Schizosaccharomyces pombe: one gene and its partners. Changing the gene in region 1 together with any one later gene gives a genetic interaction. Each region holds a gene or a part of one and is shown in the gene's direction. Other genes may lie near its edges. The genes, in order: pfl5, mbx2 and pfl9.

Region 1 (12,882 bases):
TCAAGAAAATATAGACAAAGTCTTACAATGGAAGCAACCTAAGAATCGTAAAGAATTACGACAATTTCTAGGTTCTGTCAATTATCTTAGGAAATTCATTCCAAAGACATCACAATTAACACATCCACTCAATAATCTTTTGAAAAAGGATGTACGCTGGAAATGGACACCAACACAAACCCAAGCGATAGAAAACATTAAACAATGTTTAGTTTCTCCTCCGGTGCTACGACACTTTGATTTCAGTAAAAAGATTCTACTAGAAACTGATGCTTCAGATGTCGCTGTAGGAGCCGTATTGTCTCAAAAACATGATGATGATAAATACTATCCTGTTGGATACTATTCAGCAAAGATGTCTAAAGCACAATTAAATTATAGCGTATCGGACAAAGAAATGCTTGCAATCATTAAGTCTCTCAAACATTGGAGACACTATTTAGAATCCACTATCGAACCTTTCAAAATTTTAACAGACCATCGAAACTTAATTGGTCGCATTACTAACGAATCCGAGCCTGAAAACAAACGTTTAGCTCGTTGGCAATTATTTTTACAAGACTTCAACTTTGAAATTAACTACAGACCTGGATCAGCAAATCACATAGCTGATGCCTTATCCAGAATTGTTGACGAAACAGAACCAATTCCAAAAGATTCAGAAGACAATAGTATCAACTTTGTTAATCAAATCTCGATAACCGATGATTTTAAAAACCAAGTGGTTACAGAATATACGAATGATACAAAATTGTTGAATTTACTAAACAATGAAGACAAACGAGTAGAAGAGAATATCCAACTCAAAGATGGCTTACTAATTAACAGTAAAGACCAAATCTTATTACCTAATGATACTCAGCTGACTAGGACAATTATTAAAAAGTATCATGAAGAAGGTAAATTGATTCATCCAGGCATTGAACTTCTTACAAACATTATATTACGTAGATTTACGTGGAAAGGAATAAGAAAACAAATACAAGAATATGTACAGAACTGCCATACATGTCAAATAAACAAATCTAGGAATCATAAACCTTATGGACCTTTACAACCAATTCCCCCATCAGAAAGACCTTGGGAATCTTTATCAATGGATTTTATTACAGCTTTACCAGAATCATCTGGTTATAATGCACTTTTCGTGGTAGTTGACCGATTTTCAAAAATGGCAATCTTAGTACCTTGTACGAAATCCATTACAGCAGAGCAAACAGCTCGAATGTTTGATCAACGAGTTATTGCTTATTTCGGCAATCCAAAAGAAATCATTGCAGATAATGATCATATTTTTACTTCCCAAACGTGGAAAGATTTCGCACATAAATATAATTTCGTTATGAAATTTTCGTTACCATACAGACCACAAACTGATGGACAAACTGAGCGTACAAACCAAACTGTGGAGAAATTACTAAGATGTGTATGTAGCACACATCCAAATACATGGGTAGATCATATATCCCTAGTGCAACAATCTTACAACAATGCGATACATTCAGCAACTCAAATGACACCTTTTGAGATAGTACATCGCTATTCACCAGCTTTATCACCTTTAGAGTTACCTAGCTTTAGTGACAAAACTGACGAAAACTCTCAGGAAACGATCCAAGTATTTCAAACAGTTAAAGAACACTTGAATACAAACAACATAAAGATGAAAAAGTATTTCGATATGAAAATACAAGAAATTGAAGAATTTCAACCTGGAGACCTAGTTATGGTCAAAAGAACGAAAACAGGTTTTCTTCATAAATCCAATAAATTAGCACCTAGTTTTGCAGGACCGTTCTATGTGTTACAGAAGTCGGGTCCAAACAACTATGAATTGGATCTTCCAGATTCAATCAAGCACATGTTTTCATCTACTTTTCATGTTTCTCACCTAGAAAAGTATCGACATAATTCAGAACTCAATTACGCTACCATTGATGAGTCTGATATTGGAACAATTCTTCATATCCTAGAACATAAAAACAGAGAACAAGTACTCTACTTAAATGTCAAGTACATTTCGAATCTAAATCCGAGTACTATTATGTCAGGATGGACTACATTAGCTACAGCGCTACAAGCGGACAAAGCAATTGTCAATGATTATATTAAAAACAATAATCTAAATATCTGAGAACATATGACTTATCCTCAGATTTACATAGAAAATCTTGGGGAGGGCAATGTCAGCAATACTACACTACGCTATAATACACTACGTTGAGTATCACTATATGTCACATGTTCTAATTATATATCGTACCATGTATGATACGATATGGAGATTGATCTTAATGATAATCTATTAAGATCAATATTATCTGAATACTATAAATAGAGCTACTGCTGAACCTCGTTCCTCAGTTCAGTTATGAGCTATATTAGTGATAGGTAACATTATAACCCAGTTAATACAATACCTATACTCAGTTGCTACTTATACAACCTGTGTATTGTAATATAATAGATCACAAGGAAAACTCACCGCAGTTCTACGTATCCTTAAATCAGATACCAAACTGTGTAGCTTACACTTTCTATACAGTAACGCACTTGATCTTTTGCATTTTTAAAAGTTTCTATGAGGGATTCATTATATTTCTCCCCTTCCAAAAAAAATGTTGTGATCAAGGGAGGGCAATCGTTATTATAATAGATTTCTAAGTGGCTGATTACCAGCCGTAAAACGCGGTTAATTAACTTCACTTATGTTAAATTCACAAAAAAAGTAATGGCAGTGGTGGATTCTGAATAGACACTGATAGATGGGTTACAGAATCATATAGTGAAACTTTAACGTGCCGAAAACACTAAAAGTTATGCATCGAAATCTGAATTTGCCGACGTTATACGAAACATGCTCGGAAGGGTTTTGTCACATCGCGCACTATGACTAAGATTCGAAATTTTTCCACATCTATAAATGTTGCATAAATTTTTTACTTGTAGTATAATTAGAAGAAATGGAAGAATCATAGAAAAAAAGGTTAAAAACGTTGCCATTTTACGTTTTATAGAGTAGGAGCTTTAACTTCTATAAGCCATTCGTTCTCTGCACCACGATAGCTATAAGTTTTTAGCTATTGTAGTGCTACTAAAGATAGCCAATTGTGTTCAAACTTTTAAAAGTACTGCGTAAACAAAACAACAGCTTTTTGCTGTGAACGGCATACCCAATAATTATTTACTAGATTTACAGTACAACAAATACAGATGATGTTTAGCAAGAGATTTTGAATATATCTTTTACAAAACATCATGCTAACAAACTCTTCAAAGAATATTATTTGGAATTAATTTTACCGGCTTCGCATCTAAAATTGATGGGATCTGCCTTCAATATAGAAAATTCTTCATTCACGGAGAAAACGCAAATAAGTATTTTGTTCATAAAATTAAAAAAAAAAAAAAAAAAAAAAATTTGTGTTTCTAATAAATTCTTAAAGCATTATTATAAATTACATTCGTAAAATAAAAAATAAATAAATAAAAAATTAATAATATCATTACTATTGCGTCGAAGGTGATAAAACATATAGCATAAAGCTTAAAATCTAATGACTGAGTTAGCATTATATTTATCATCTAAAGGAAGCAGTATAGCGGTTAAATCATTCAGCTAATGAGACTATTAGTCGTTGAAATATGGTGTAGCTTTGCAAGCCAAATTTTCCATGAAAGAAGAAAATTTTTTATTGAGTTTTGCCGTTTACCCCTTGATTTCTGCTTCCATCCTAATAATCCGTATTCTTAGCTTTGTAATGCTGTGCGTTTTATTTCTATTTTCATGAACGGAGTTTTTAACGTAACGTTACCACCGGAAATTGCGGTTAACAGTAATCAAGTAGACAAAAATTTGTAATTAGGTTTAATTCAGTTTATGCAAATGTAAATCTAACTTCTATTATTTTCCTAAGGTGCTTAATTAAATTAAAGGTAAAAATAATTTGCTTTAGTAAAATATATAATTCAATCTTCATGTGATGAAATGCCTTTAGATTTGAAAACTGAAGATATTGGCTTTCTTCTGGGTTATAATCTCGCTAACAAAATAACGTTAACCTTACTCAAGTTAGATTAAAGTTGTCCCAATTGCAAAACCCTAACGATACCGTAACAACGCTAGATTAGTATTTGATATACGTTTTTACATTCCTTTCCTTATTTTGTATACATTGAGAAAAAAATAATGTATTCCACAAATATATTCGTACAGAAAAAATTTAAGTAACTCTAGTATGGTAGGCACATTATTGAATGAGCTGCATTTGTCGATAGCTTGCGATGTTATACCGTAATCTGATTGTTAATCCATCCCTATTCCTATTTTTATACTGACGGTTTGAATCCGAACTGACATACCAACATACGGTAGTTACGAAAAACCTGAGTTTACTCTTACTTCAACGTAATGTTTTTTTCTGAAATTGAACTATCAAAGGGTCGTGCTTGTAAATTTTTGAATTTTTTTATTATCTATCTTAACGTTTGATATTAAACTTTTGGAGGGGAGAATTTAGTAGCGCTCTTTGAAATATGCTTTTTGCAATCAGCAAAATATGCAAACATAAATTTATACATACACACAAGTACTCTAAAAATGTTTGTATAATTCATGCCTTTTTTGTTAGCTGTTCAATTTGTTCATATAAAAGTAACAGTAGCTCGTGTCCTAATATTGATGCTGAATGTCTACTATACCCCGATTGTTTATTACAGGTATTGTGCCACTATGTTTTCCCGACAGAGGACTATCAAAATTTTAAACCGGGCAGTCGGTAATTGGAAAAAATGGAGTCTGAAGTTGCATTACTTACTTGCTCATATACAAAAATAAAAGAAGTGCTTGTGCCATTATATTTGGGAATTTGCAGCTCATCACAACTTCATGCTAGTGTTTACAGATCTTATTTTTCTCGCTATCTTTGCTCATATTGGGAAGGCTACTGCAAAAGTATGGAACAGAAATGTACAAGGATTTCTTGATTTAAACTTGCCAAATGAATGTTCACAATACACAACAATTTACAGTGACGGCCCTAGTGAATATACTTCAACGTTGCCATACACGCACTCCTTTAGCAACGCAAGTGTATATACTACCTTAATTACTATAACAAACAGTCAATGCACCGGAAACTACTCAACATTGACAATATCATCACAACCTTTAATACATACTAATACTTCCATTTCCAAGCCTTCGCAAACAGCTACACCACAAAACACTAATACCACACAAGTCTCCTTAACCAATGGAACGACAACCAACAGTTATTCTAACACAAACTCCCTGCCAATTACAGATACTATCAATGGAACTACTGAATTAATTATTCCAACAACTAGCTACAACAACCAAAGCCATACTCTTATTTACAGTACCTACACCTCCACCTACCTCCCCAATTCTACAATTGACTTATCTATTCTACCACACTCAACAATAAGCACTCTAAGTACAGTCTCCATAAATGATACTAGCGCGTCATTGTCAAAAACAACTTCACCCACTGCTGGAACTATTACTGAGACGATTGTTTCTGGTTCTGTTGGATATACTTCCACGTTTCCTGCTAGTGGAACTACCTCTGGCACTGTAGAGGTGGTTGAACCCACTGCTGGAACTATCACTGAGACTATTGTTTCTGGTTCTGTTGGATATACTTCGACATTCCCAGCTAATGGAACTACCTCTGGTACCGTGGAAGTAGTTGAACCCACTGCTGGAACTATCACTGAGACTATTGTTTCTGGTTCTGTTGGATATACTTCGACATTCCCAGCTAATGGAACTACCTCTGGTACCGTGGAAGTAGTTGAACCCACTGCTGGAACTATCACTGAGACTATTGTTTCTGGTTCTGTTGGATATACTTCGACATTCCCAGCTAATGGAACTACCTCTGGCACTGTAGAGGTGGTTGAACCCACTGCTGGAACTGTTACTGAGACCATTGTTTCTGGTTCTGTTGGATATACTTCCACGTTCCCTGCTAGTGGAACTACCTCTGGCACTGTAGAGGTGGTTGAACCCACTGCTGGAACTATCACTGAGACCATAGTGTCAGGTTCTAAAGCATTTACTTCCACATTCCCAGCTAATGGAACTACCTCTGGTACCGTGGAAGTAGTCGAACCCACTGCTGGAACTATTACAAAGACCATTGTTTCTGGTTCTAAAACTTTTACTTCCACATTCCCAGCTAATGGAACTACCTCTGGTACCGTGGAAGTAGTTGAACCCACTGCTGGAACTATTACAGAGACCATTGTTTCTGGTTCTGTTGGATATACTTCGACATTCCCAGCTAATGGAACTACCTCTGGTACCGTGGAAGTAGTTGAACCCACTGCTGGAACTATTACAGAGACCATTGTTTCTGGTTCTAAAACTTTTACTTCCACGTTCCCTGCTAGTGGAACTACCTCTGGCACTGTAGAGGTGGTTGAACCCACTGCTGGAACTATCACTGAGACCATAGTGTCAGGTTCTAAAGCATTTACTTCCACATTCCCAGCTAATGGAACTACCTCTGGTACCGTGGAAGTAGTTGAACCCACTGCTGGAACTATTACAGAGACCATTGTTTCTGGTTCTGTTGGATATACTTCCACGTTCCCTGCTAGTGGAACTACCTCTGGCACTGTAGAGGTGGTTGAACCCACTGCTGGAACTGTTACTGAGACCATTGTTTCTGGTTCTGTTGGATATACTTCCACGTTCCCTGCTAGTGGAACTACCTCTGGCACTGTAGAGGTGGTTGAACCCACTGCTGGAACTGTTACTGAGACCATTGTTTCTGGTTCTGTTGGATATACTTCCACGTTCCCTGCTAGTGGAACTACCTCTGGCACTGTAGAGGTGGTTGAACCCACTGCTGGAACTATCACTGAGACCATAGTGTCAGGTTCTAAAGCATTTACTTCCACATTCCCAGCTAATGGAACTACCTCTGGTACCGTGGAAGTAGTCGAACCCACTGCTGGAACTATTACAGAGACCATTGTTTCTGGTTCTAAAACTTTTACTTCCACATTCCCAGCTAATGGAACTACCTCTGGTACCGTGGAAGTAGTTGAACCCACTGCTGGAACTATTACAGAGACCATTGTTTCTGGTTCTGTTGGATATACTTCCACGTTCCCTGCTAGTGGGACTACCTCTGGCACCGTGGAAGTAGTTGAACCCACTGCGGGAACCGTTACTGAGACTGTTATTTCGGGGTCAGTTTCTTTTATGTCAACGATTACTGCTCATGACACTTCGTCTGGTGCTGTCATAGTTGTTGAACCCACTGCTGGTACCGTCACAGAGACTATTGTTTCCGGATCTATTCCGTTTACCTCGACTATCCCTGCTCAAGGTACGACATCAGGAACTGTTGAGGTGGTTGAACCTACCGCTGGTACCGTTACTGAGACCATAATATCAGGTTCTGTTGGGTATACTTCCACATTCCCTGCTCAAGGTACAACATCAGGAACTGTTGAGGTGGTTGAACCTACCGCTGGTACCGTTACTGAGACCATAATATCAGGTTCTGTTGGGTATACTTCCACATTCCCTGCTCAAGGTACAACATCAGGAACTGTTGAGATTGTTGCACCTACCGCTGGTACCGTCACAGAGACTATTGTTTCCGGATCTATTCCGTTTACCTCGACTATCCCTGCTCAAGGTACGACATCAGGAACTGTTGAGGTGGTTGAACCTACCGCTGGTACCGTTACTGAGACTATAATATCAGGTTCTGTTGGGTATACTTCCACATTCCCTGCTCAAGGTACAACATCAGGAACTGTTGAGATTGTTGCACCTACCGCTGGTACCGTCACAGAGACTATTGTTTCCGGATCTATTCCGTTTACCTCGACTATCCCTGCTCAAGGTACGACATCAGGAACTGTTGAGGTGGTTGAACCTACCGCTGGTACCGTTACTGAGACCATAATATCAGGTTCTGTTGGGTATACTTCCACATTCCCTGCTCAAGGTACAACATCAGGAACTGTTGAGGTGGTTGAACCTACCGCTGGTACCGTCACAGAGACTATTGTTTCCGGATCTATTCCGTTTACCTCGACTATCCCTGCTCAAGGTACGACCTCAGGAACTGTTGAGATCGTAGTACCTACTGCTGGTACGGTAACTTCGACTACGGGTTCTGGTACTTCTTGGTTTACTACTACTGTTCCCGCTACTGGTACGAGATCTGGAAGCGTAATTGTTGTTTCTCCAACTGCTCCTGCTTGTTCTTCTACTCCGTTTGCTGAGTGTCCAAATCTAAATTTTAATTTTCATTCTAAAAATGTGAACTTTCCTCCCGCTGACATTAGGGTAATTAGTGTCACACCGAAGGGTAACAATATGTACGATGCTACAGTTCAGTTCACTACTTCTTCGACTATGTCGAAAAAATCATTGAGTGAATTAAAGATATTGGGATTATCTCAAACCTATCTCTTGTACTCATACAACTCTAAAGTGGACAACATTTCTAATCCTGGCAGCTGGACTTCAACGGTAACTGTTCAAGGTACAAGCACAGGTAGCTATATTTGCATGCCTCATTTCCAAATTCAGTATGATTGGTGTAGTGCTGGTGTTACTGACATGTCTGAATGTAATACATGGAGCTATCAAAAATCCTATGATTATATTACCGGGTGCAATAATTACGATAATCAAGGCAATTCCCAAACGGATGCTTCTGACTATTGTTGGAATGTTTGTTAGTTAGCTTAAGCATGTAAGCATCAATTTGTTCTTCTTTGCTTATAATATGCTACCAATTATAACAGCAGCTTAACTTTGTCACATCATTTTTTTTTGATGGATGTCTGTGTGGTTTACTTAGATTCTATACCACAGTTTTGTAAATTATTTGTTTTTTTGTCTTTTTTCTCGGCAGTTGGTTAAAAACTTAAACTGTTGTATGTTTAACTTGCATATGGATATGTTTTAATCTTAATTTTATTCGTTATGTTATATTTAATACCACGTTTTTCTTTTTTCAAAACGGATTTTATGTAGCTTAACCATTTTCTATTTTTCTTATAATAATATTCACAATCTTTTGCTCAATTGTTAGGCAATGATTTATTTAGTGAAGTTTTGATACAGGACTTACTGCTGTGTGTATACACCATTCATGAACTCTGCTTTTCCGAGCAGTGATTTAATAATAAAAATTTACAAAAAATGGACATTCACAGTTTCTAGATTTGACGTTTCATTCTTTCAAATATCACCCAAATTTTTTGTAAAATGCAAAGTATTTTCCCATTCGCTAGTTAACAATTATTCAATTAAATAAATGACGAATAAGCAGCATATCGGAATGTTCAAATACACTTAGGAATGAAATGAAATAACCGCCAGAGAACTTTTCATGACTTTTATATTAAAAGAGGTTTAAATGTGAGGTTGCTTTCACAAAATATTTGGTATTTCGTTGTATTTAATTACAACTTACCAAACGACATTTAGGAGTCCTTTTCATGAGCCTTCATGATAATAACATTTCCATTTTATCGCGCAATAAAACAATTACCAAATTTAGTTAATTTAAAGAATTAACAATTCATAATCCCATTAATTACTAAATAAAAACTTAGATTCGGGTGTAATATGTACCCCACAGTTGCTCAAAAAGCTTCTTTATACAAATAATATGCAGATTATGAGCTATTTTCGTTCATCTAATTTAATCATACTTATGATATCTAAAATTTCCCATAGCAAAATCATGAGTAACATCACTGATATTTTTCATCATGTCGACCAAGTGGCCTCCACTACCAGAATGCTTATGATATCCTCCATAAACATGACCAGTAATATAATGGTGGTGATGATGATGGTGATGACCTCCATTTGAACCGTTTTGACCTCCTTGCTTCTCCTCTGACTGGTTAGCATTTTGCTGACCCGGTTGTGCTAGTGTTTCGCTGCGACCTTCGTGTTTTTGGGCAGCATCAACAACAGGCTCTTTCGGCCTGCTTTCGTCTTTTTGGACGAAATGAAGCTTATCCTCAACGCTTTTATCATTTTTATCGGATACATGAGGTTCATAGTCATGAGGAGTGCTATGACTTTCTCTTTTTTGAGAAGTATCCCTCAAATTCTCATGGTGAGTGTTGGGGCTTGTTGCTTCAGAAGTAGAATTTACGGAAGAGGATGTATCAAGAGCGGGATTATGTTTAAAAAAATTGCGAGGTTGTAAAAAAAGGTGAATAGACTCGGCAGGCATAATTGGAAAATCTTCCGGAGCTGGAAAATGGATCATACCAAAAGTGTGCCAAACGACGATATCGGTATTCTTAATTTGTGCATTTGGATCATCGGATATCCATTTAGATAACCCCTTAGGCGTATCATCAGAGGCTTGGGGAGCATAATCACCAGTTGGGAAGATTTGGTCGTCCATGTAAGGAGTTACGTAAATATTATTTTCAGCAAAACCTGAACAATCAGAATTCGTAGTACCGGGTTGCGAGAGTACAGGCGATGTGTCTCGAGAAATAAGCTTATATGATACAGGTTTCCCAGAATACGGATGTAACTTATTCAAATTACAGATATCCCAGGTCCTACCGGTAGATGAATCATAGTTGCTGATTGCTTCAGTTACTGTCTCTGGAATAATATATTTTGATACTAGAGTACCATTCTTATCCCTTAATGCATCCACTGTAGCAACTGAATTCCTTAAACCATCAAGCATTGGGTTGATTCGAAGGCAAAATAAGTGCTCATGATTTTCAGCGCTGATCTTTGGATATACTTGTGTTCCATGACCTTTTAAGTCTTCATCTTCATTTATGGCGTTCGTATTCAAAATTCCAGTTAGTCTGATTTCACATTCGATAACTCCATCCATGCGGAAAATCCAGTAAACAAGGTATTCATAGTTGGCAGCAGTAAATACTTGTGAGACTACCAACTTAATACTTCTAGCTGAAATATTTGCATTGCGATCCCTGAGATCAGAATACTTAAAAAGCACACCGTCATCCTCTTCATGGATGCTAATTGCATTTTTTATAGTTGTTATTTCACCACGATAATTAACAAAATCAGCATCCATGTAATGAATAACACCTTCACAACCGCAAGTAAAAGACAAAGGATTTGTTCGGTATCCTACACCATATTCCCCTAAATCATATGCATGCTTTCGGTGATGCGAATGTCCTTTTGCCCCAAAAGGAACCGCCATTTCAGTAAGCGAAATTCGATAAAAAAGAGGGCGAAGGTGCCCATCCTCATTAAAAACTACGTCTGACAAAACAATTCCCTCTCTATAGTTGAACCCAATGTGAAAACAAAAGTTCTGCCATTCGATATAGCGTCCTTTAATACGAAAATTTACACCCTCTGGCTGAGTAATACGGAGTGGTTTAAGCATTTTCATAGCTTCCATCTCCTGCTCAAGCTTTTTCAAATTGTTATCCGAATTTACATCTTGAGGAATAGGACGTCTTACTTTGGGAATATCAATAGCTATCACCTTTTTCTGATCAACATCAATTATAGGACAAAAATCCAGCGGAATGGAACGAAGATGACCACTGTCGCCGGGTTTATAATACATTAAAGCTTGCTGAAGCCTCCGACCAGAACCGTAGCGCTCGTCATAACCAATGGTCCAAGGGTCGCAATAGACGTTAGACAATCCACTTTCAGGAACGCCGCATATTTTGCATTGCTCGATTACATTTGCATCATTTCTTACAATTTCATCAGTAATGGCTAGTAGATCCGCTGTAATTATTGGGCAAGTATCAACGGAATGCTCCCATTTCTCTATTTTTCCAGTAGTAAGGTTGACAATTCCTTCAAATACTCCAGGAACTTCTTTTTCTAGTACAATCACGTAAGCCCTTCTGTCGGGTATACCTTCATGAGCAGAAGAATATCTCCAATGAACGTACTCTTCCTTATGTGGTTCACTTAGCGTAACTACATCAAAAGAAATTTGTTTTTCAGGATAGCTTTTCCGAACGAGGTTTACTACGTATCTTAATTCATTAAAGCTCAATGGGTCCAATGGATCAAAGTACTCTGCAGCTTTACTTTCTTCTGCCATTTTGTTCAATTGAACTCAAATAAAATAAAATTGTCTTCAAATTCTGATAATTCGTTAAATAATTAGTCTTCTTGATAGTTTCACCGAATACTGCCTTGCTATAATATGAAATGTTGTGCCAACATTTAGCGGATACCCTCACTACTTTTATAAAGTACGAAAAATTAGCGTTCCGCCCTCGTGTAAATACCGTACCCGCAACCGATTAGTATGACGAACTGCTGTAAATCCTTACCCGTCTGGTGGGATCATTAATCATACGGGAGTGAAGCTACGATCGTTGGACCCGTAATCTTCGCAATCGCTAATACCTGAAATTGCCCCGTCAATATTCTTTTACAATCTAAATAAATCGATACTGACGCAATGAGCGCACTTACAACCCTAATATATATGCAGTAGCTTGCAATTGAAATGTAGCGTGTATTACAATACTCTTGTCTATGCAATATACAATCAACGTCTTATAATAAACAAATGGAATCCTTATCATTTTCAATAAATCATACTTCCATTGTTCAATAATAAATACAAATTTCTTGCATTTAATGGTTAAAAGTTAATAGCAATGAGGGCTTCCGCAAGTTGAAATGGAAATGAAGGCATTAATTCTTGGGATAACTGAATTGAGAAGCCTTACTTAATGAGTTAAAAAATATAATAACAATAAGTAACAAAAATTCCTTCCATTCATCGGCATCATTATATGCATCATTTTAGCATAAAAAAGTTAATGATTGTGTGTTGCATCCCATGTTGGTCGAGTTTACAGCAATAATTAACAAGA
Region 2 (10,829 bases), 790 kb from region 1:
GATTTTCGCTTTTGAAAGGATAATATTGACAAAACTAGCTTTTCATCAACCCGAAAAAATACTATTTGCCGACTAAATTATACTGTCAAGGAAACTGGATAACTGCCTTTCAAACATGATTCAAATAGTTCTATTTACTGGGAAAACCGGAGCTGTAGAATTCTATTAAGGGAAATCGAGGTTTGTTAATGTTGCAAGGAGCACATGGGCGTCATGTTGCTGTTGCAATTTCAAACTGTAATATGTACTCCCATATTAACAGGGAAAAAATACATTTAAGGGAACCATTAAAACCCCCTTTTTTTTGTAGACACTGCAGTAGGAGTTGTTTTACGCTCAAAACCTGTGTTTGTATTCTATAACTATTACTGAGGATACGAAGACTTAACAAGGAAATTGTTTTTACTTTGGAGAGCGTATACTCAACAAACCACTGGTTACATGGCTAATATTTAGTAAAAAAAAATAACATTTAATGAAGATCCCTTATAAAGAGCCTAAGTTATTTCGTAATGGAGATGGAAATTCATTTGCACCATGCTTAGAATTTTGCGAAGTATCGATTTGCCGTTCTACGACGGCGGTAAAAGGTGGTATCGAGGAATGGCATATTTAGTTTAAAAGTAATTACGATTCCGTTTAATGTCTCTTACAGTAATTTCATACAATTGTGTTAAACCATTCTTCTCCACCAAATTAAGCATCGATTTATTAACTATTGGATTGATATGCCATGTGCTTTTTGACTGCCTATAGCATTCGAAACGAGAATTGCATAAAGAAGAATAGCATCGAATGAAAAATAGCTAATTAAATGCTATTAAACTCAAATTGAAAAGCAAATAAAAATTGCCATGCATTGACTGTATTGTTGCTAAAAAAAAAAAAACAACTAATCTAAGGGAAAGCTATACCACCGAGCTGTTTAAACTGGTGCGCTGCAGCAAGTTTTCTATTTTAGTATACGGCGAGAAATTGATAGTTGAATGTTCTGGACAACCGACGTTCACAGGACATAAAACAAAAATGTAGGGCTGCTAGTCGTTTCCCAATCTTATTCCATCAAAACAACAAAATATGTATTCCACAGGTTGCATTGATTTTTTTCGGTAAATCCTTTACTAAAATGGAATGACTTTCGGTAAAATAAAATAGGGTACCGGGAAATGATATGTTATCTTAACATTTTGAATGAGACCGACTAACAGGAATATTTTTTAATTTTGTCAGAATCGAGAAATTTAGGCAGAAATAAAAGCACGATATTTGACTTTTTCATGATTGATTCAAAATACAAGACTTTTTCTCCGAGATAAGAGATAAAGCATTTGGGTCATTAAGATGAAGTGGTAAAAGCCATAAGGAAAATGGTTTTTGGTTTTAATTATAGCATATTTAGACAAACGGCCTTCGGGTATTCTAGCACCACTGCCTCTTTTTTTGCTAACAGGAAAAATTAGCTTAAATCTAAAAACCTTAAGCTGTTTGCCCACATTTATCCTGAAATCGTGCTGAAACAAATGGTATTTATTTGGATTAAGTTCAACACTTTACAGAAGCGCAATCCTAAAAATGGTGGAATAGATAGACTGTCTTGGATGGGTTAACGAGGTCAGTTCGTCGAAGGGTTCGCTAAAGCGTAGATTAAGAAGTTAATTCGGTAGTATGCTATCGCTACGGTACAGAACTGAATTTAAGGTCAGCCAGAGTTGCATGTATCCCGTGCTAGCCGAAAAAAAGTAATCCGTACTTAACATTCGAAAATTTCGTTAGTCATTTTGTCTTGAAGCTGGGAGTATTCTGCACATTCCATTTAATATGGGGGGTTTTGGTTTGAAGCTCGGTTCTACCGATGTTTAGACGGGCCGATAATGCGAAGAAAAAATAATGATGTTTTCCGTTAAAACTGTTTTCAGATATCAACAAAAAAAATGTTTTCTGACAGAAAACAAAGAATCTGTTAAGAGATAAAGCCATACTTTTGGTAGACCATGTAAGACGGGGTATGTAATACGGGGTAGTACGAATAGATGTAAGACAAAGCTGTGCATAATTCGATTTGTCGCTTACACGGGTATATATGGACAAACATCATATAGTGCACAAAATAAACAAATGTGTGTTTTCTTATACATGGAGCCACGGAAAGTTCCGAGACAGATGCCCTTTTACGGGCTTCAAGTACCGATACGGCAAAAGTCCATAATCAAAGTCCTTTATGTCCCACTAGCTTGATTAAGCTAATTCGGCATACCCCAGGTAAGGAGGAAGAAAGGAAGGAAGGACAAGGTAAGCAGTCGCTGCACACGTCAATTTCGTGAGTCAGCACTACTGAGGCTGTCCATTAAAACAAAGGTAAAGGGACGGCGGACAGAGATGGATTGTGGCGATGATGTTTTTTGATTTCCAAAATTCTCACTGTTTCCATGAGTCATGGCATGCATTCACATCATCGTTGACTCTCCTCTCTACTCACTGACTAACAGTTTAAAACATGTTGCCCCAATCGTAACACTTAACGACCGATTAAAAATGATGAGAATTTGTCAAGTTCATCGTTCAACCCTAGTTTCCCCCAATTCCTTCCCGTACTCCTAAGCAATCATGTAGAGAGGTAGATGAGAAACATCGAATGGTTTGCCTTTTCGTAACAAGTGCTGAAAATGATAGGCGGATGCAGTGTTAGCACGAGTGTAGACGACTTTGAATGAGTGGTATAAGCAATAACGAGGCTCAAGTCAATATTCAGCCTCCTCGCGAATGGTTGCGCACGTAAACTATATCGCAACGAAAGTATGTCAGTCGCCAGATAGGACTACTCCTAAAGTCTAATCCAAACTACTTCGTCTAGCTATACTAAAGTATAAGCAGGTCGTAACGGTCGATTCATTGCGAAATCAAATTACTCATAAGCTACCTCTCTGGTTATTTTTTCCCAATGTACTGTATTCGTATTGTACCCCATTCTTACCGGATACATTTATTAATAGAGCAAGTTACGAAAAGCAAAATCAGAGCGAGTCTATTTTCGGACTTGTGTGTCTAAGTATAGTCAAGGAGCGGAGACAACACTCGTAATATTGTTCCTTCACGCCCTCCTCCCCCTTTCCCCTTTGAATTGAGTATCGTACACTGCATCAGTAATAGGGTCAGCGTTTCCAATTGACTGACTGGTTGAAAAGTGAAGGATTACATACGAAAATCCCTAAACGCGATCATCAGCGCATTCCGAATTTTCGTATCTTTCTATCTCTTCGATTCTTTCTTTAGCCTTGCCAAGTATTTTGGCTGGCCCATACGCTTTGCCTGACTATCGCGTCTAAAAATAAAATCCCCTTTCCAAAACCTTGGATTAGGTGCATGGGATTACTATGATTCTTTCCTAATAATTGCTAATCCCGCTTTCTTTCTATTTTTTTCTACTATTACTGCAAAGTCAGGTTTGCAATCCAAGTGGACTTTAACCATACTCAAAAGGTACCTTCTAACCTTCTTTCCATTATGTCCATCTTCCTCCTCCAATTAAAGGATTTTCCTACTTAGGGCTCATTTAATCGAGGCTATCCCACCTTTTTCATGAAAAAGTATTCGGCCTTGTGACCTCCCCTTTTCGAAAAGAGAGATGAAGAAATAGTTTAAATTACCCGAGTAGCCGAAACGGTGAATTTTCAGAATGTCTACATGAGGAACATAATGTACACTTATACGCGTTTGTATATTGAGAATTCATCGGTAATGTTGGCAAAGTGCTACGCATCTTCGGATAAACGTGAATGGAAGACATTTAGCCCCTAATTTTGGTGTACTTATGCAGGAAAAACCTATCCCTTAACAATTGCCTATGGAGGGAAAGAGAAAATTTTTTTCGTTCACTATTGGAATTTATTTTCTTTTGCATAAATATGTACAATGGTATGTTACGATGCTGGCGTCGATACTTGTCTAAGTTAGAACGCAGTGTGTATTACGAAGGTTGCATTAAATAGACGTTGCGGTTTCCTAGTTATTGCTATCCCTGTATATATATACACATATATATGTACAAAAACACGTATTTACACGCACTTATAAACGCACACAGACAACAAACAAATACCTAATTTTATAATTTCAAGTTGTTGAGACAGATTAATTTATTTATAAAACTTGGCGAGAAGATATTTTTAAACCTGACATTGAAAAGGAGGGGACAATTGTTAAAAATATAGCTTCAAAGGCAAAAATTTCTCCAAAGTGTTGATTCTTCCTCTTTCTATTTTAAAAATAGCACACAAAAACATCTAGTCATTTAATTTGTCTTTGTTCCTCTCATTTGTAAACACTTGAAAACCACCCGTTCCGGCTATCTTGTTTACTAAAAAAATTTTTTCTATTAATATCTTTAGTTTCGTCGCCCGCTTCAACCCAGAGTACAAAAACAAAAATAGCTTCCTCGTTTTTAAATCTCAACTTAGATTCGTCTAATCGACTATCAATTACGAGCACAATTGGAGAACTTTGCGCTCTTGTTTTCTCAAGCGAAAAATCTACCCTCAAGAGATCCGGTGCAGAGAAGGGAAGACAGGGATAAAAACTGTTACATAAATTCCAAGAATAAACCCCATCTGCTGTTTTCTATTTGTTCCTTATATACTTGCCCGTTTGCTCGCTCGTTTGCTCGTTTGTTTTCGTCATTCTCCCTATACCTGAATTTTGGTTAACCTCGTCGACTCTTTTTCTCTTTTCTCGTCAAACCTTACTAAATATATACAACGTCTAATATGGGGCGCAAAAAAATCTCCATTGCACCCATAACCGACGATCGTTCAAGGAGCGTAACTTTTGTCAAACGAAAACAAGGTCTCTACAAAAAGGCGTATGAACTCGCTGTGCTAGCCGATTGTGAAGTCGCCGTCACAGTCATTGATCGGAAAGGACGTTTGCACGTCTTTTGTTCCTCTGACTATCAACGTACTCTTCAACAACTCAACACTCTCAGCATATATGAGTTAAAAAACCGTTCTCATTTTTCGTCATCGCCTGTCGAAGAGTCAAGTACCGTGTCTCCAGAAACGACAACTGGTTCATTTACTCCTCTTAATAATAAGCATTTGAAGTCACAGGACCAACCTTTATCAGACTCCCAACTCGACACTGGTGATTCTCCTGCAACATCGGAAACGACTGTTCAGGACTATAATCCTCAAGTTCAGTCTTACTGTCGTCCCGAGCCTTTATCGTCTAATCACGTTCGTTCTTGTCCTCCATTTCCTCCCACACAACATCATCATCCCCATACTCGTCCTCCTCATCATCCACCTCATCCTCATTTTCATAACAATAACTATCCACCGCCCTATTGTTTCCAATCTCCTGTGTCTCCGGGTGCTACAGTTCCATTGCAACATCATTCTCCGTACCCTAGTGATAACGGCTTTCCTGGTCATCGTAGGCAAACGCACTTCGCTCCTTACTACTATCCACAAAGAGCTACGTCTCCTTCTTTGAAACAAGTTCCAACTTATCTGGGTACTCATGTACTGCAACAAGACCAGTCCACCTATGATCAGAAGGTCCTTATGCCTCCAGCAAGTTATCTTTCTTCACCTAATCAATACACCTTAAAAAATGTCTCTCCTGGTAACCCGGCTTGCCCTCCTTTTCTCTATGAACATCCAAATCCACAGCTAACGCCTGAGATGTTTGATGTTAAACAAGGCTCACCTATTCCGCCTACTGCGTATTCGGGTAGCAGTTGTGAGACTTCTCAACATACCATTGCGAATACTCCATTTTTGGCATATGATCGCTCTCCTTCCTTAACGAATCAAGAAGCTGAATCATCCTTCCAAGACGTAGCTTCCATTAGTCCACATTCACTCAGTGATGTCAAATACTAAAGAATATCATAGAAGTCAATCTCCCTTTCAAATGTCTTCATCATGTGTCCTCCCTGGATCTAATGAATCGTATACAAGTAATAATTTTAGTTGGCATACATCTCGATCAAATCCTTACAATCGTTTTCTTACTCAAACTGCATATGATTTGGAGCAATCCAAGCACCAATAGTTTACTGCCAAGCTGTGCGATGCCCATTTTTTTAATTTGACTTACATCGCATTCCAGTAAACAATTGTTAATACTAGGTCTATCAATTTATCGTTATAGTTGAATTACGCGAACGAAATTACTGACCTAGCAATAATTGAAGTTTGGAATGTTGTTCAATAAAATGGACACCTACCGATAGCTTATGGATTCAATGTGAACTACAAACCTAGCATGATTTCAGACGCTAGCAAATACAAATACCTGAACATTTCAGATGTGCCAATGGTTTAACTTTGTTAACTTCCATCTTCGGTATTTTGGATCCTCCCTGTTATGAATTCAAGATGGTGATTTTCGGTTTAAATATTTATTTGCAAACTGCGGGCAGTTTATCACTTATTTATTCAGGCACGCATTTTGTCTATTCAAGTGGACTAAGTTTTTTCGTGATTTTGTTTTAACCACCTCCTTCCACTTCATTAATTAATTCACCAACATGTAACATTCGCGGACCAACCTTTATGTTCGCATTCAAATTTTTTTTTGGAGCCGCTAATTTCTAATTAGACGTTTCTCATTCGTTTTCAAGGTTATACATGGTTTATTTTCGTGTGTTTGACTCGATTTTTTGCTAGATTTTTCACGGTTTCTCCTTTTTAATCAAGAACGTTTGACGATTCACAGAACCTTTTTCAAACCCCTAATTACAGTTTTCAACAATAACATGAGAAATTCGAACTTTCCGTGTAGTTTTACAGAGTAATGTTTAAGTGTTTGTTAGTATGTCGGTGTGTAAGTGTAGCGTAGCGATAACCGTCCAGCTTCAAAGGTAAGATGCAGGGGAGTAATGCAGCAGCTAATTTTATATGGCGGAATGAGCATGGTAGCACTCTTCAAAGAAGGTGGAATAGGAATTTGGCTTCATGCGAAATTATGTTAACAGAAACCTGAGTTTCTGTAACATATTATTATATACGTGGCTTAGGACATCCAAACAAATAAATGAAATTCTTTAGTATAAGAAGATGAAGAAGATATAAAAGATTACCAATGTTATGCAAACGATGGAACATGAATCAACCGCATAAAACTCAGTCGCTGTATCAAAAATGACCATCGTGGGATGCTGACATAGGCAATCAAGTTTCTCACTTCAAATAAATTAGAGACTGATTTGGCAAATATTTGAGAATTGATCCTCTATTTGACAAATCATTTTAACTTATTTTATGACAGACAAGTCTGTTTGTATTTTGGGAATAAAACCTCGCATTATCCAATTAAAACGTCTGTTGCGACCACCGGCTTAACTTAGAACAATTATAAAGACTTCCAGAACAAACAAAAGTAATAAATTGTCGTAAAGCGACAATTATGCAAACTTTTTACCCTGTGGGATAATTACCAAAAAGATGATCACAAGTAACGTAAGGCTATGTCTTTCAGGTACAAAACAACTGACGAAAGGTGATAAAAGTATTAAGTAGAGGCATCTGGATGCTGGGAAAACAAATTGGAAATTTCGTAGGGCAGTTTAACATTATTTAATGGGAACGAAAATAGAAAATAAAATATTGCAAAAAGAATGGCGTGGGTCTTACTAAAAGACGCAAATTAGGGATATAAGGCAATTAAACTGCAAATTTAATGCGAATAAAAACAATAGACAACGGCTTAGCAAGTGAATTTACAATACTCGGATTTAGATTTTGCGCGAAAAAGTAAATGCATTGGTCAACAGGAATGCAACCAATGCAAAAAGAATTGTCGCAACCTTGTTAAAAAAACAGAAATGTTTGTTAGACAGTTACAAAGATAGCGATAATCGAGACCAAAGTGTTCCTAAAAATTCCGATCGGAAAGTCAGTAAATCTCGCATAAGGTGGTGCAACTTTGCTGCATACAAGAAACTAGCAGCCCCTGGCCATTTCAGCTTTTTCAATTTGCTTAGAGCACAACACTAAGCAAAGAATCTCTTTCTTTTATAATAGCACAACTCCCAAATGATTATCACTTTTTCTAAAACAAATTAATTGGATACTTCTAAAGTATCCAATTGTAATAAGAAGTCTCAGAATAATCCAACAAATCATTTCAAATATCAGGACGCAGAAGCGAGCATGTAGAGAATATTATTCCATCTCAATACTCGTTTAAAAGGCAAGCGATTCAAAAGAATGGTAAGGGTAGTGGATGTTTGCATGCTGATTTGGAAGGGCTGCGGATATCCATGAGAATAAGCATCGTCTAATCTTTATAGGTATAGCAGGAAAAAGATGAACTTCTTATGAACGGTTAGCACAGAGAACGAGGGAGCGAATTTTTGATTTAAGTGATACAATGCAAGTAGTCTATAAATTTGGTCCTTTTTTAGAACTCCGATTGTCTCAAAGAGTGTAAATATACACGCGAAAACTGAAAAGGTCCGACTAAATTTTCGCAGCCTTCTCGGCTTCTTTTAACACATGGAAAGCAATTTTTTGCTTTTTATTGTTCAACAAAACCTTTTTGATCATTATATCATTTCAATTGTCTCAAATAGAATTATAGGAATCAGAGCAAGCACTAGAAAAGTCGAGTACCAATTTTTTCTAGCTTTCAAGAGCTTTCCCTCCATCATGGGTCGAACAAGTCCAAAATTTCATATAATCAATAAACACTTTTTGAGCCTTTTTAAGCGGGAAAAATGACAGTCTTAACGATCACAAAAACAAGCAAAAATTGCAAAAGTGTTTGGGATACATTTTTATAGATTTCATGGTTTCCTCGCTAATATGGTGAAAAAAAATTTTATGCTTTTCCCTACGTCAATCCAATAAAGACAATTAAACACCAGAATAGCACTGGTGTATTTTTTCTGGAATGCTGTATTTGAGACATACGAAGAGGCTTGATTAATGTAATGGTCAACGAACAAGTAAGTGTCTTTTCTCTCCTCGTGAGTGTAGTGACCGTTGAGGAATCTAATGGTGATTCAAACTTTCCAAACGAAGAAAGTTTTTAACTTATACGCTACTACACACAAGCATTACTCTCATGCCGTTCCCCCCAAACTTATAGGTGTCTCACGACTTTGAACAAAGCAGGCAAGTCACTTGCTTATAGGAATACGCTCGTATAAATAAAAGAATCTCGTTTTCCGACCCCAATTATCCCCTTCCCAATTGTGGTGTCGAGGCCTTTTTATGCACATGATCTTAATAAAGATTTAGGGGATGTGGGGTGTTATTTCGCAACTTGGTCAATGTTTTTCTAGTGTACCTCTGTTAGCGAGGTTATGTAGCCCAGCGTTTGTTATCTAGTAGCACATTTGACGTTGAGGTCGTTGTAATGATGAAACAGGACACGAACATGTACCACCGACATGCATAGCTCTTTATTTGGCTGCGACATGGGTTACCTAGGTGGGGAGTGGTACTGTTGGAACTTTATATGAATTGCAAACAGAAATTTTTCGTTGCGTTGATTCAGTTTGAGACATTACAAATTATGTGATTCGTTGGAAATGTGTAGATCCGAATTATGTATTAATGTGGCTTGCTTTTTTTCCTTATTGGTTTGATCCTGAGAAAGTGCTGAGATGGAATGACTGAACCTTGCTAGTAAAAACTAGTTTTCCGGGATCGGCAAACATGTTTTGCAATTGAAAACAAAATCTTTAGCTGTGTTAGTAATTTGCAATTAGCAACGCGCAAATCCTGCGATGAGGATAGTATGTGAGTTGCTAATTGCAACATCTGAAGCATTCTGATGTGTCCCATTTTTCCAAACCCGGATACAGGCGGCATTGAGAAACACCACAAACAAAAAATTTCCAGCAGTCGCAATGTAAACAATGACAGGGTTAGCCACATATCTGGCTATAATGGTTAACTAGCTTGTTTGATGATGAAACTAGTTGAAAATTAAAAACTGCGAAAAAAAATTCCTTACCGGGTTAACTCAATTACTCCCATACACCTTTTCCCACCAACTTAACAAAAAACCCATATCTCTCAATATGTCCGCTCCGTGAGAAGAAGTAATACTTTTTTATGCATTCGGCTAAATGCAACCCTGCCTTTTGAACATCCCAATTGGCGAGTTCTCTTCAATGTTAACCAACATATCATGGCGTCCACGACAGCACATTACGGCAAAATTCTACCACTGATTTCACACTTTCACCTACTGAATTTTTCATACCAAGTAAGCCTACAAACTAGACTATTTATCTTATAGGAAATGTATTTTCCCTGATACTCTTATCAATCAACGCCTACTGGTTTGTTTGAGCGTTTTTTCGTTCAATAATTCAACACTTTCACTACTAACAATTCACCTATGTTACAGCTTTGACTCCTTACTTTCCCTGTCTTTCGGCTGTTCCACTTTGACCATCGTAAGCCTATTTTGTCATTACTGAAGATGTCACTACACGTTACATTAACTAATGCAAACGATGTTCCGTGCTGCTTTTTTTATTTCTAGCTCTACTGTGTTGGTATTAAGTCTTAGTCTGTTTATTTCATAGTGGTCTCAACAATGAATCTGGTGTATTCGATTTATAAATTTGTGGTTCGACATTGAGTACGGATGACCCTGTATGAAATAACAGTCTCCTGAATCGCTTATGATGATCCTTATCGTGTTGTTCGACCTTTCCAATTCCGGGGTTGTTACCTTATGTCCACCTATTAGTATGATTTGCGCCAGTTCATATGATGGAATTTGCATTGGAGACAGGTTGAACGATTTTTCAGGTTATTTTGCGGACTGCTTAATAAATGGACTTTTTAAGACATGCACTCATAAAA
Region 3 (10,000 bases), on another chromosome or scaffold:
ATAAATCTATTCCGATTAAACAGAACACCAATAATAGTATGTCTAATACATTATTTATTTTCGAAATATTTATCAAAGCAGAGTATTTCATTTGATAAATTCCTGTTTTTGGTTTTCGAAAATTAATAACTGATAAATGGTGATTTTTCGTTACCGTAACACATTGGTGCTCCTATTATTATATGTTAGTGCTTCAAAGTTTAAAACCAAATTTTGCATTAACAGTTTTTCTTACCTGAATACTAGTGCTCACATTTGTTTATAGCATTTGCAACTATTATGGCTTACACATTTTTAAGAACTACGTTTGAAAATTACTTTTATTTTGTTTTATTTTTTAATTGTTCGTTTTAAAAACTATTGTCCTTAGTGCTGATTATGCCATGTTTCTATATCAAGTGCTCATACCTGAGCTTCTAGCAGCATTGATTCCCTTTTTAATGTTCATTCTATATAAAAATCAAAATCGATTTCTTGTTTCGAATAATCGATTGTAACTTCGAGACCACACCATTTGCTATTTTAGGTTAAACAGAATTTGATATAAGGAAGAAGCAGTTTTCCCTTCAAGTTCGGCATGGCTTGTGATGGAAGGAAAATTTATCCGTTATTTTTGAAATAGTACATTCCTTTAATTAGTGGGATAGAAAATGATGGACGAGGCATGCCTTTGGAAGGCATCTTATATCATACTTGAAATACATATATCTTGGCAGGATCTTTAGGAGTTGTACATGTAATTTGAACTAAAATGGATTGTGCTTTATTTACGTTTTTGTATAAAAATACGATGCATGTCAGCACAATTTGCAAATACGTTTTACTTCCAACCGCGCATGCAAGATGGAATATATGATGCTCTGCAAAAAACAATTGTCAAAAACCATAGTCTTTTAAGTCATAATATAATTATTAGGGAGCTATGGAGCAAAAAAAAAGAATTATAATCAGGTAACTATATGATTATTTGTTGTCGATTTATAAAAAGACATTTGTAATCTTTTGTTAAGCCGAAATGTTTATTAAAAATTTTATAGATAAACTATCCGTTTTAAGATCATTTTTATATGAGAATAATCTTTAGTAAGACTATTTTTTTATAAAAAAAAGCTTTGAAAAAACCGTCAAGAGTTTAGCTAGATGACTGATTTATAGAATATATCTAACATAAGAAAAAATCCTTCATTTTTCGTAAGTATTTTATGATATGACTTATTTTTCAATAACAGAATTAACTTTGTTTTAACAATACATCACTGCTTACATGCGAGCTTCACAAAGCAAGTATTCGTCTTTTTTCTGCGAATTTCATTCGATTAAAGAAGTGAACTATACATTGTTGAGTTCACCGACCCTAACCCTAGACAAAGGAATTGGGTAACATACATTGATTATTGTGTTTTATACCCTATCAAAATTGTTTGAGTAACTTGAAGTGTAAAATGAATAAAAGATAAATTGGTAATAACTTGCTTTAGTGTATTTCAGGCCGATTTAAGTAAGTTTTTAATAGTGTCAAACCAAGTTTGCTCACCCGAGGGTGTTCTGTGGGAATCTGCTTTGTTTTTTAATAGATTATATAGTTTGGTTTGTAAGGGTTTATGAACGCTAAACAATATACCGTTTGTACCTAGCGGGTAGGTATCACACGCCGTTCCCGTGGGTCCAGATGACAGAAGTGACGGGACTGCTAAATATAGCGGATCGTTTTTTAACGATGAACCTTTTTCTTATCCGAATTTCGAGCTAAACAGCTAGGTATTAGGATTTAGTGAAGTTTCAATCTTTGGACGTACTTTAACGGGAACACAATTGAATTATGGATTACAGTGGGATACTTAAGTTCAAGCTTTGAGAAAACGAGGAAAGGCGTTAATCCTTTGTATTGACAATAAGAAGTGATGCTCAAGAAATAAGTTTTAATGCTAAGTTGATTGAACTGGTCAATTAATATTTGATAAATTTTTTCAATCTTATTGTAATTTGATGCATTAAGGTTCGTATAAACAGCTTTTCGATAGTTTGTGAAATAAAATGCAGAAGTACTCAGTAGTCTGTTACAGAATTTATGTTTTTGGTGTTATTTGAAGACAAAACCTTAATGGATTCGTTTTATACCTGTAAATATACTATCCAATTCTATCAAACGTACTTAAAAACAAATACCGATTCATAGAATTTGTTACGATGAAATATTTCTAATAATAGTATACTAATTGCAAATAATTTACCAGGTCCAAAGTCATTGATCTGGACTATATTGACATTCCAAATATTAATAGTATGTCTTAGCGTATATAAAAATTAAGAAGACTTCAACGCTAAGTATGGATTCAGCTCTTTATTTTGTTATAAAAAAATAACTCAATGCTAAACAATAAAATAGCCGAGCAGTTTTCAATTAAGAATTGTCTAGCGAAATTTCATTAAACAACCTAAATCATATGGAGTTTTTTTCTTTTTTGATATTTGGCTCAGGCAAAGAAGAAAAGTTAAGAGTGGTATTTCTTAATAAATTAATGTCTCAAAAAAGGAATAAATTTTTTTTTTAAAATGCTAAATTTTAAACGTCCTCAGTTGCATAGATGAACTTTAAATGATAAGCGAACGAAATGCAATCGATAAATCATTGTCTCTTAGTAAAGTGTTCGGTTAAAATGACTGACATTTCGTCCGAAATAATATCAGTGTAAATATCATGGGAAAATTTCGTGTATTTCTTTATTTGGAATGCGCAGCAAAGTATCAAGAGAATAATTAGTGTTTTATATGATTTAATTTTATTGCCGGTACAATTGTATGGTTGTTCTGATAAATATACATGCTTTGTCGGTTTATCACTCTGAATAAATTTGTGATATATATTGGTTTATTTATTCAATCTATGTATCATGTAGTTGATGCTTTCATTTTTTTCATAATTTTAAAAATATCAGTTAATCATTTATTCAGCAACTGTAACGTTAAATCATTAATATATATATCTATATCGGCATGCATTAAGTTGCTACCGTTAAACATCTTAATTAAAACTAGTCTTTTATAATAACTAACTCTTTAATTTTTTGAAATTAGTTCAATTTACTGTGGAGGGCAGTCGATTGATAAAAGCTTTTCGATTCACTTGTAGCTTTAATCGGTGCTCGTTGCATCAATATTGGTTTATATAAGCCAAAGCTTTCATGGCTATTAATGAGTGATGCCGGTTTAACTACTCTAAAATGTTTTGAAAATGATAGGTATGTTTTGATTTGCTTCATCTTTTTATTTCAGTATTAACAACCTAGTAATTAAAATGTTAACAAAAAAATTTGACTACCTTTTCGAATCACATGTTTTCAGTGCTAAGTTGCCTCCAGACTGTCTGCAGTGAGTATAGGTGTTTTATAAGAAATTTGCTACATAGTATCAAATCAATAATATGAATGTAGTTTTATCAAAAAAATATTCATTAAGGCGACTGTACTGAAAGAGAAGTAGGTTAATAATAGACTCTTAAGAAAATTAACGAGAGGCGTCAATTTCTGTTGCTAGCATATATTGCGAACTCGATCGGTATGTGAATTACTACGAAAACATGCGAGCCGCGTTAACAAATGTGCATTGCCTTGTCTTAAAGTAACTAAGTTTCTCAGAAGCAGTATAAATAGTAGACTACATTAATTTCGAAGTTCCGATAATGATCTTTTTATAGAACTCAAATTTTTTAATTTGATATTGAGAATTCGAATAAAAATAACTATGGGATTAACAATAAGGGGGTTTCCGAAATTTTGGGTACTGGTTTTATATGCGCAGTTTTTGTATAAATGAACAGGCCTTCTCACACGTCTTTTCGGTTCATATTTAGCGATCAGAAGTCGTTAAAAATTTTTCTCCTATAAACAATGAATGTGGTGAAGTACATAATTTTTAGCTTTGCTCTGGCGCCTTTGTTATTAGTTAACGCGAACACATATAATTTTACACAGATACAAAAGCGAAGCGTAAACCAAGCTGTTCTTGAATCAAGTCAAGATACCAATTCAGTAGGCGGTGAAGCTTCTTCAACAGCTTGCCCTTTATTCACTACTATTTACACTAATGGTATAACACCGGGAACTACAACGATTTATCCAACATCTATCTCGACATCTGGCGTATCTAGCAACAATATCGATGAAACTTCGGTATCCTCTGAGTCTATCATCACATCCACTATTACGACTACTATAACATCTGGTTCGCAACTCTATACTACTACCATTACCGGTCAAAACACACCTGTTGATACCGTTGAAGTGGTAATCCCTACTGCTGGTACTTTCACAACTACATTGACTTCTGGATCCAGTTATCCTGTCGCAACAACTACAGTGCGAACAGCTTCTGGAACACAGTCAGGTGAAGTGGAGGTTATCACACCGTCCTGTGGATGCAGTCCTGAAAATTCATTCCATCTTAAAATAGACAATGATAAAATCAGCCCTTCCTACGTGTACATGGATCCAAACGCACCCGTGAGAACTAATGGTGCCGGTCGAGAGGGGAATATGTTTGCTTCAACTAATGGAGACAACGAGGGACTAAACCTTTTCTACTATGATTCCACTATTCAACGAGTATTAACATGTGATTGTCAAAGACCGTCTTACACTGTATACATTGAAGATCCAATTATAGGCAATGGTTTTTCAAGTGCTTGGAATCTCATTAAAAATAGCGATGGCATATTTACTCCTGTTGAATCAAGAAATAATGAGCCACTACACTTTCATGTAGATAACAATGGAAGAGTATGGATGACTTCACAAGAATATGATACAGAAGTTTCATCAACCGACGAAAGAAATTTTAGGGCCAATGATGTTACACTTCAACTGTATTAGTTGAAGCAGCAAATTTAGAATTGCACATACTCTCGTTTAATTTTTTGTATTTCAGGTCATACATATAATTTTTTTTACATTCATTTGATATAATATTTTAAAATTACAATCCATGAAATCCTTTATCAATCCCTATTGAAGATGTCAAGAAGTTGACTTCCTCGGATTTCATATTTTTCTCAAGTTCTGCTGTAAACTGAAAATAGGGATATTTAAATAGTTCTTAATTATTTTTTCCACTAGAAATTGATTGCTCTACTAATAAAATACTGTTCCAAGTTATCGGCACAATTATTACTTTCGTAAACAAAATTTGTATTTTATTTATTTTTTTTTTTTTTAAATTAATCATAACTAGTGGTATTAGGAATGCATATTTTAATCTAAGTTCAAATTAATTGCTTTCATAGTAATCATTGATATTTGTTAAATAACTAGGTTTAGGTAAACCGTACTAAAATTGAACAGGAAAGGATAAATTTTAGTAAATTTTGTAGATTATGCTTTTCGTAAAAAATAGTGGTGGCCGGTTTTAAAGATAAGTTTGGATAAACTGGTTATAATTTCCTTAAGTGAAATTTAATCACTTAAAAAAATATTAGATCTAAATAGTAACTATAGACAAGTTTTGTATAAGGAAAATGACAATTAAAGATAAGGAGCTAGACTAGTCTAGCGCTTGTTTTGAGTTTAATATTAGACCATTCAGAATTTTTTTACTCATTATTACTAAAAAAGAAAACTTAAGCAAGAATTTAAATTGTGGAAAGTCTCTTTTACTTATTAATAATTGTAAGCAATAAGGATAAGAAAATCAAAACAGTTTTTTTTAAAAATGTTTCTAAATTTAAAAAAAAATCTAAACCATATGCTGCGTTGCCTGTAAATAGTGTATCTAGGTCGGATGAGATTATTGTTTTCAACTTTATTTCTTCGTTTTGTAAGAAATGAACTATATTGTTGTAGAAATAGAATAACGTTACTAATCTCTTGAATATGGGTTAAAAAACAAAATTCACAATAATTAGAAAATTTTTTACCTTTTTATAGTTTTACCCAATTATTTACTAAAAATTATTGTAGCAACTATTTTAAATAGTAAATGGTGGATTTTCTATCAAGCAGTAGGTAAATTATTGCAGCATAATACTGAACAAAAGTTTTCATTTCATTTTCAAGTACTCACGAAATTTTTATTGAATTGAAAGAAAACTATTTTGTATATGAAAGGCGCTAAAAAATTATATCTTCATTATCACTTTTGATTCAAGAGACTAATACTAATTTGCTTATTTATTTGCGATTACTGATTCATCAAGACTATTAGTATAGAAATCGGACGCACTCTTCAATGTGGTATGTGCAATGGAACAGAGAGCTTCTGTAGTAAAAAACGCCTGATGTGAGGTAACCAAAACGTTTGGAAAATTAACAAGACGTTGAAACGTAGAATCCTTTATTACTTCGTTAGAAAGATCCTTATAAAATAAGTTTCTTTCACCTTCATATACATCTATTGCACAACCTCCGACTTGGCCGGAGTCGATGGCGTCAACCAACGCTTTCGTATCAATTAAACCTCCTCTACTAGTGTTCACAATTGTTACTCCCTTTTTCATTAAAGCTAGGGAGTCAGAATTCACAATGTGCGTTGTACTGGGCGTTAATGGGCAATGGAGGCATAAAAAGTCAGCCTTCTTTAAAACCTCATTTTGCTCAACAAATTGAACTCCATAGTTTTCTAACTTCTTATCCGGATTGATATCGTAAGCTAATACATCGCAACCAAAACCCATTTTAAAACATTTTGCAACATTACTCCCGATTTTCCCAGTACCAATCACTCCCACTGTTTTACCATGTATGTCACATCCAAGTAGTCCGACAATATTGAAGTCATCTTCACGCACCCGAACATAGGCACGATGAATTTTACGATTAAGAGACAAGAGTAAACCAACAGTGAATTCAGACACAGCAAAAGGCGAATAGGAGGGGACGTGCACAACAGTTATTTTATATTCGGACGCTGCCTTTAGATTAACGTTGTTGTACCCCCCACAACGAAGAGCGACCAACTTAACACCATTTTCTGCCAAAGCTTTTAAAGTATCAGCATCTACTTGGTCGTTCACAAACACACACACCACCTGTGCTTTGCCTGCCAAAGAAACTGTATCTTTGTTCAATGAAAAATTGTGATATATTATTTCATGGTTAAAAGTTTTGTTAGCTTCTTCAAAAGGCCCTCTATCGTATGATTGACTACTAAAAAGGACAACACGCATTGTTGGAAGCAAAGGGGTAAAATGTTATGAATAGAGGAAATAAAAGTTAAAAGCTGAGAGATACTATAAATAGTTGTTCAGCGTTCGCAATGAAGTTCTTATGAATGATATTAATCAACCTAATCTTTGGAAACTTATTACATTTAGAAATTTAATTTGCCCACGAGAATATAGTCGATATTTGTTATAATATTTTTAATACGTCAACGGTATGTAATATATCTATAGTATTGCAGTGATGAAAGTGTTCTGTAATAAATGATAAAATTAATTTATTATTGCAAAGTAATATATTGATTATTTAAATTTCTTTTTATCTTTTTAAACAACCATATGATCCTAGGTGTATTTCAGAAACTATGGGGTAACTAGGTGCAATATTTTTTATTTTTTATTGTCGCCACGCAAGTCGCATATCAACTATTAATGATAATTTGAATGGTCTTGCATATACAAATTAATTGGTGATTTGATGTTTTAAGACTTAGTAAGCCATACAATAATAAGAAGTCGATTGAATTTCTAAAAGTTTAATCACTATTATAGGTGCATCGACGCGATGCTTATGTTCATAAAAAAAATTGAAATTGCTGTCAACAACAATGCATAAACAAACTATTTGTTAATTTCAGTATAGGAAAAAAAATAAAGTTTTCGAACATATTTTGGAATTGCGGATTATTTTAACTGAAAGACGAAAAAAAATGTAAAAATAATCTAAAAACGTCTGTGGTGCATATTTTGATTTTAATACATCTTTCGTCACTTCAACAAGCACTGCAAAACTGATGAAATTCTTTGATGCTTCAGTTCTTCATGGCTCAAGCCACTCAAACAAGCTTTCTGAATAAAAAAAAGGTTGTAAAAAAACCGACGACGTCTGAATAAGCGGTAACTAAATATGAATTTTCACGAATTTATAGAGAATACCTTGGTTATTCCGAGTTTTAACAGAACTTTGTGTCAGTGCTATATTTGTTTTTATACATAAATTAAGAGGGACGATGATTTACTTATAATATAGAACATTGCCAAAAATAAAAAATTTAGTTGGATTTAAATATCCTTCGGACACAAATCCATGTTACTTTCGTAGTTGTAAACAATCAATCATACCGTCATTATGTAATAGTACGAAGAAGTACCAGAATTTTTTAAATTATCAGCAACTAGCACCTGTGGTCATTTTAATCTGATGATAGTTTATTCTAATATATTTTGTCTATAAAATTATGATTTGGTATGCCGCAGTTCGTATAAAGCAAGTACCGGTTATCTGATATATGCGGCGGCAACTAGTAATATATATAACTACCTTAAAAAAATGTAGCAAAAGAGTAAAATCGTGACGAAATTGTTTTCACTAATATTAACAGTAAACATCATATGTTAATATGTTAGTGGATTTCGTTAGTTGCTTTAGATTCCTGCTATAAACGCCCTTATAATCTAAAATGTAAAAATACCAATATCAAATTCCTGTTGACTGTACGTAGTGAATGTGGACATTTCTCGTATAATATTGTTGCACAATTTTATTTTAACTTTCGTTCGTCTACTATCAAAGTTATACTTCAATTGATAGTGAGGTATTCATTTTTTTTGGATGAAAGAACCATGTTTGTTGAGTAAACTTATATGTTTAACTTATCATTATTTTTTAATTTCATAATTACAATAGTTTAAACAAAAAGAAAAAAGAAGGAATAAATTTTTTAAATATAATTCCTATTTTTTTAGTTATTTAAGCTTTTACCGCTTACTAATTTGTTTATTCAAAGGATGATAATGATTATCTGAATTCCCTATGCTCCTTTAGAAATTATCCGGTTATTATAATATACAAATGTGTATCAATTTATTTGTTTGCGGTACACAAAATCATTAACACAGTCTTTCAAAATATCTGAATAGTTATGTAAGTCATCTATCCCTCATCATAATTTCATTATTAGATTGAGCCTGAAACACTTGCTTAAAAATATTTTTATTCATTTCTGCTTTTTACTGTTTGCTGGCAGTTTTTCTAAGATTGAAAATTAGAAATTCAATTGGTCCTTCATCAATTACGTTAAGGTTTTTCTTTTTATTCGTTTTAGAGCTTTTATGTAATGATTACCCTGGACGTTCCTTATGACAAGCGAATACCATAGAAACTTTATGTTAGTCTCCTGTAATATAATCTTATCGAAAAAGTATTGATTACGCACCTTTGAATATTTCTTAACGGATTTTTATGCTATTGTTTGTCAATCCCCAGCTTTACCGTTGCTTATCACAAACTGTTTTCTTTCTAGCCATAAAAATTTTATACATTGAGGATTAATTCTCCTGTGTGGATCAATAATTGTTGATTTATTTCTTATACAATTAACACGAATAATTCTGTCCGCATTGTCCATTTTGTTGCAGACAAGTTTGTAGATCTGTCGCTGTCCTATGAAACCGGCTTATTAAAAAAAACAGCTTTAAACATCCAACTATGGTCTTTGCATTAAGTCTACAGAAATAACGTTGCAGGTCTAATCCTTCATCTTACACATTTTCTTACTTTACATAATAAGAGCTACATTGAGGAAATTTATGAATTAAACAAAACAGTAAAACTTCTTTACAGGTTGTTTAAAAAGGTACGAAGTTGAACAATAAATTTTTTTTAATAAACAGTATTTCCATGATGAAAATTCAAAGTTAAAGACTACATTTGTTTTTTAAATAATACTTTGTTTTAAATTATTCATTAGACACATTTTAATTCCCATTGATGTATTTATTACACAGCATGACTTCAAGTGTATTCACTAAAGACCGGTTACTTTAAAAATTTTTTAATGGGTTTAAAAA

The links.
Region 2: of pfl5 (region 1) and mbx2, changing one suppresses a phenotype caused by changing the other (phenotypic suppression), as found in Schizosaccharomyces pombe (one study listed by BioGRID).
Region 3: of pfl5 (region 1) and pfl9, changing one enhances a phenotype caused by changing the other (phenotypic enhancement), as found in Schizosaccharomyces pombe (one study listed by BioGRID).

What each region holds. Positions count from the first base shown.
Region 1 is NC_003423.3:4,416,525-4,429,406, forward strand, and holds pfl5 (glycoprotein), read left to right. Parts: upstream 1-4,870; 5' UTR 4,871-4,888; coding exon 4,889-8,740; 3' UTR 8,741-9,084; downstream 9,085-12,882. Other genes in the region: Tf2-11 (retrotransposable element/transposon Tf2-type), read left to right, coding at 1-2,134; Cu(2+) amine oxidase-like protein Cao2, read right to left, coding at 9,711-12,095.
Region 2 is NC_003423.3:3,621,879-3,632,707, forward strand, and holds mbx2 (MADS-box transcription factor), read left to right. Parts: upstream 1-4,760; coding exon 4,761-5,879; 3' UTR 5,880-6,780; downstream 6,781-10,829. Other genes in the region: SPOM_SPBP8B7.32 (uncharacterized protein), read left to right, coding at 8,499-8,723. UniProt on the Schizosaccharomyces pombe protein: Acts in transcription regulation. May bind to a MEF2-like typee II promoter sequence.
Region 3 is NC_003424.3:5,523,805-5,533,804, forward strand, and holds pfl9 (DIPSY family glycoprotein), read left to right. Parts: upstream 1-3,887; coding exon 3,888-4,868; 3' UTR 4,869-5,155; downstream 5,156-10,000. Other genes in the region: SPOM_SPAC186.02C (hydroxyacid dehydrogenase), read right to left, coding at 6,158-7,156. UniProt on the Schizosaccharomyces pombe protein: May be involved in agglutination during conjugation or other aspects of colony formation. Induces flocculation when overexpressed.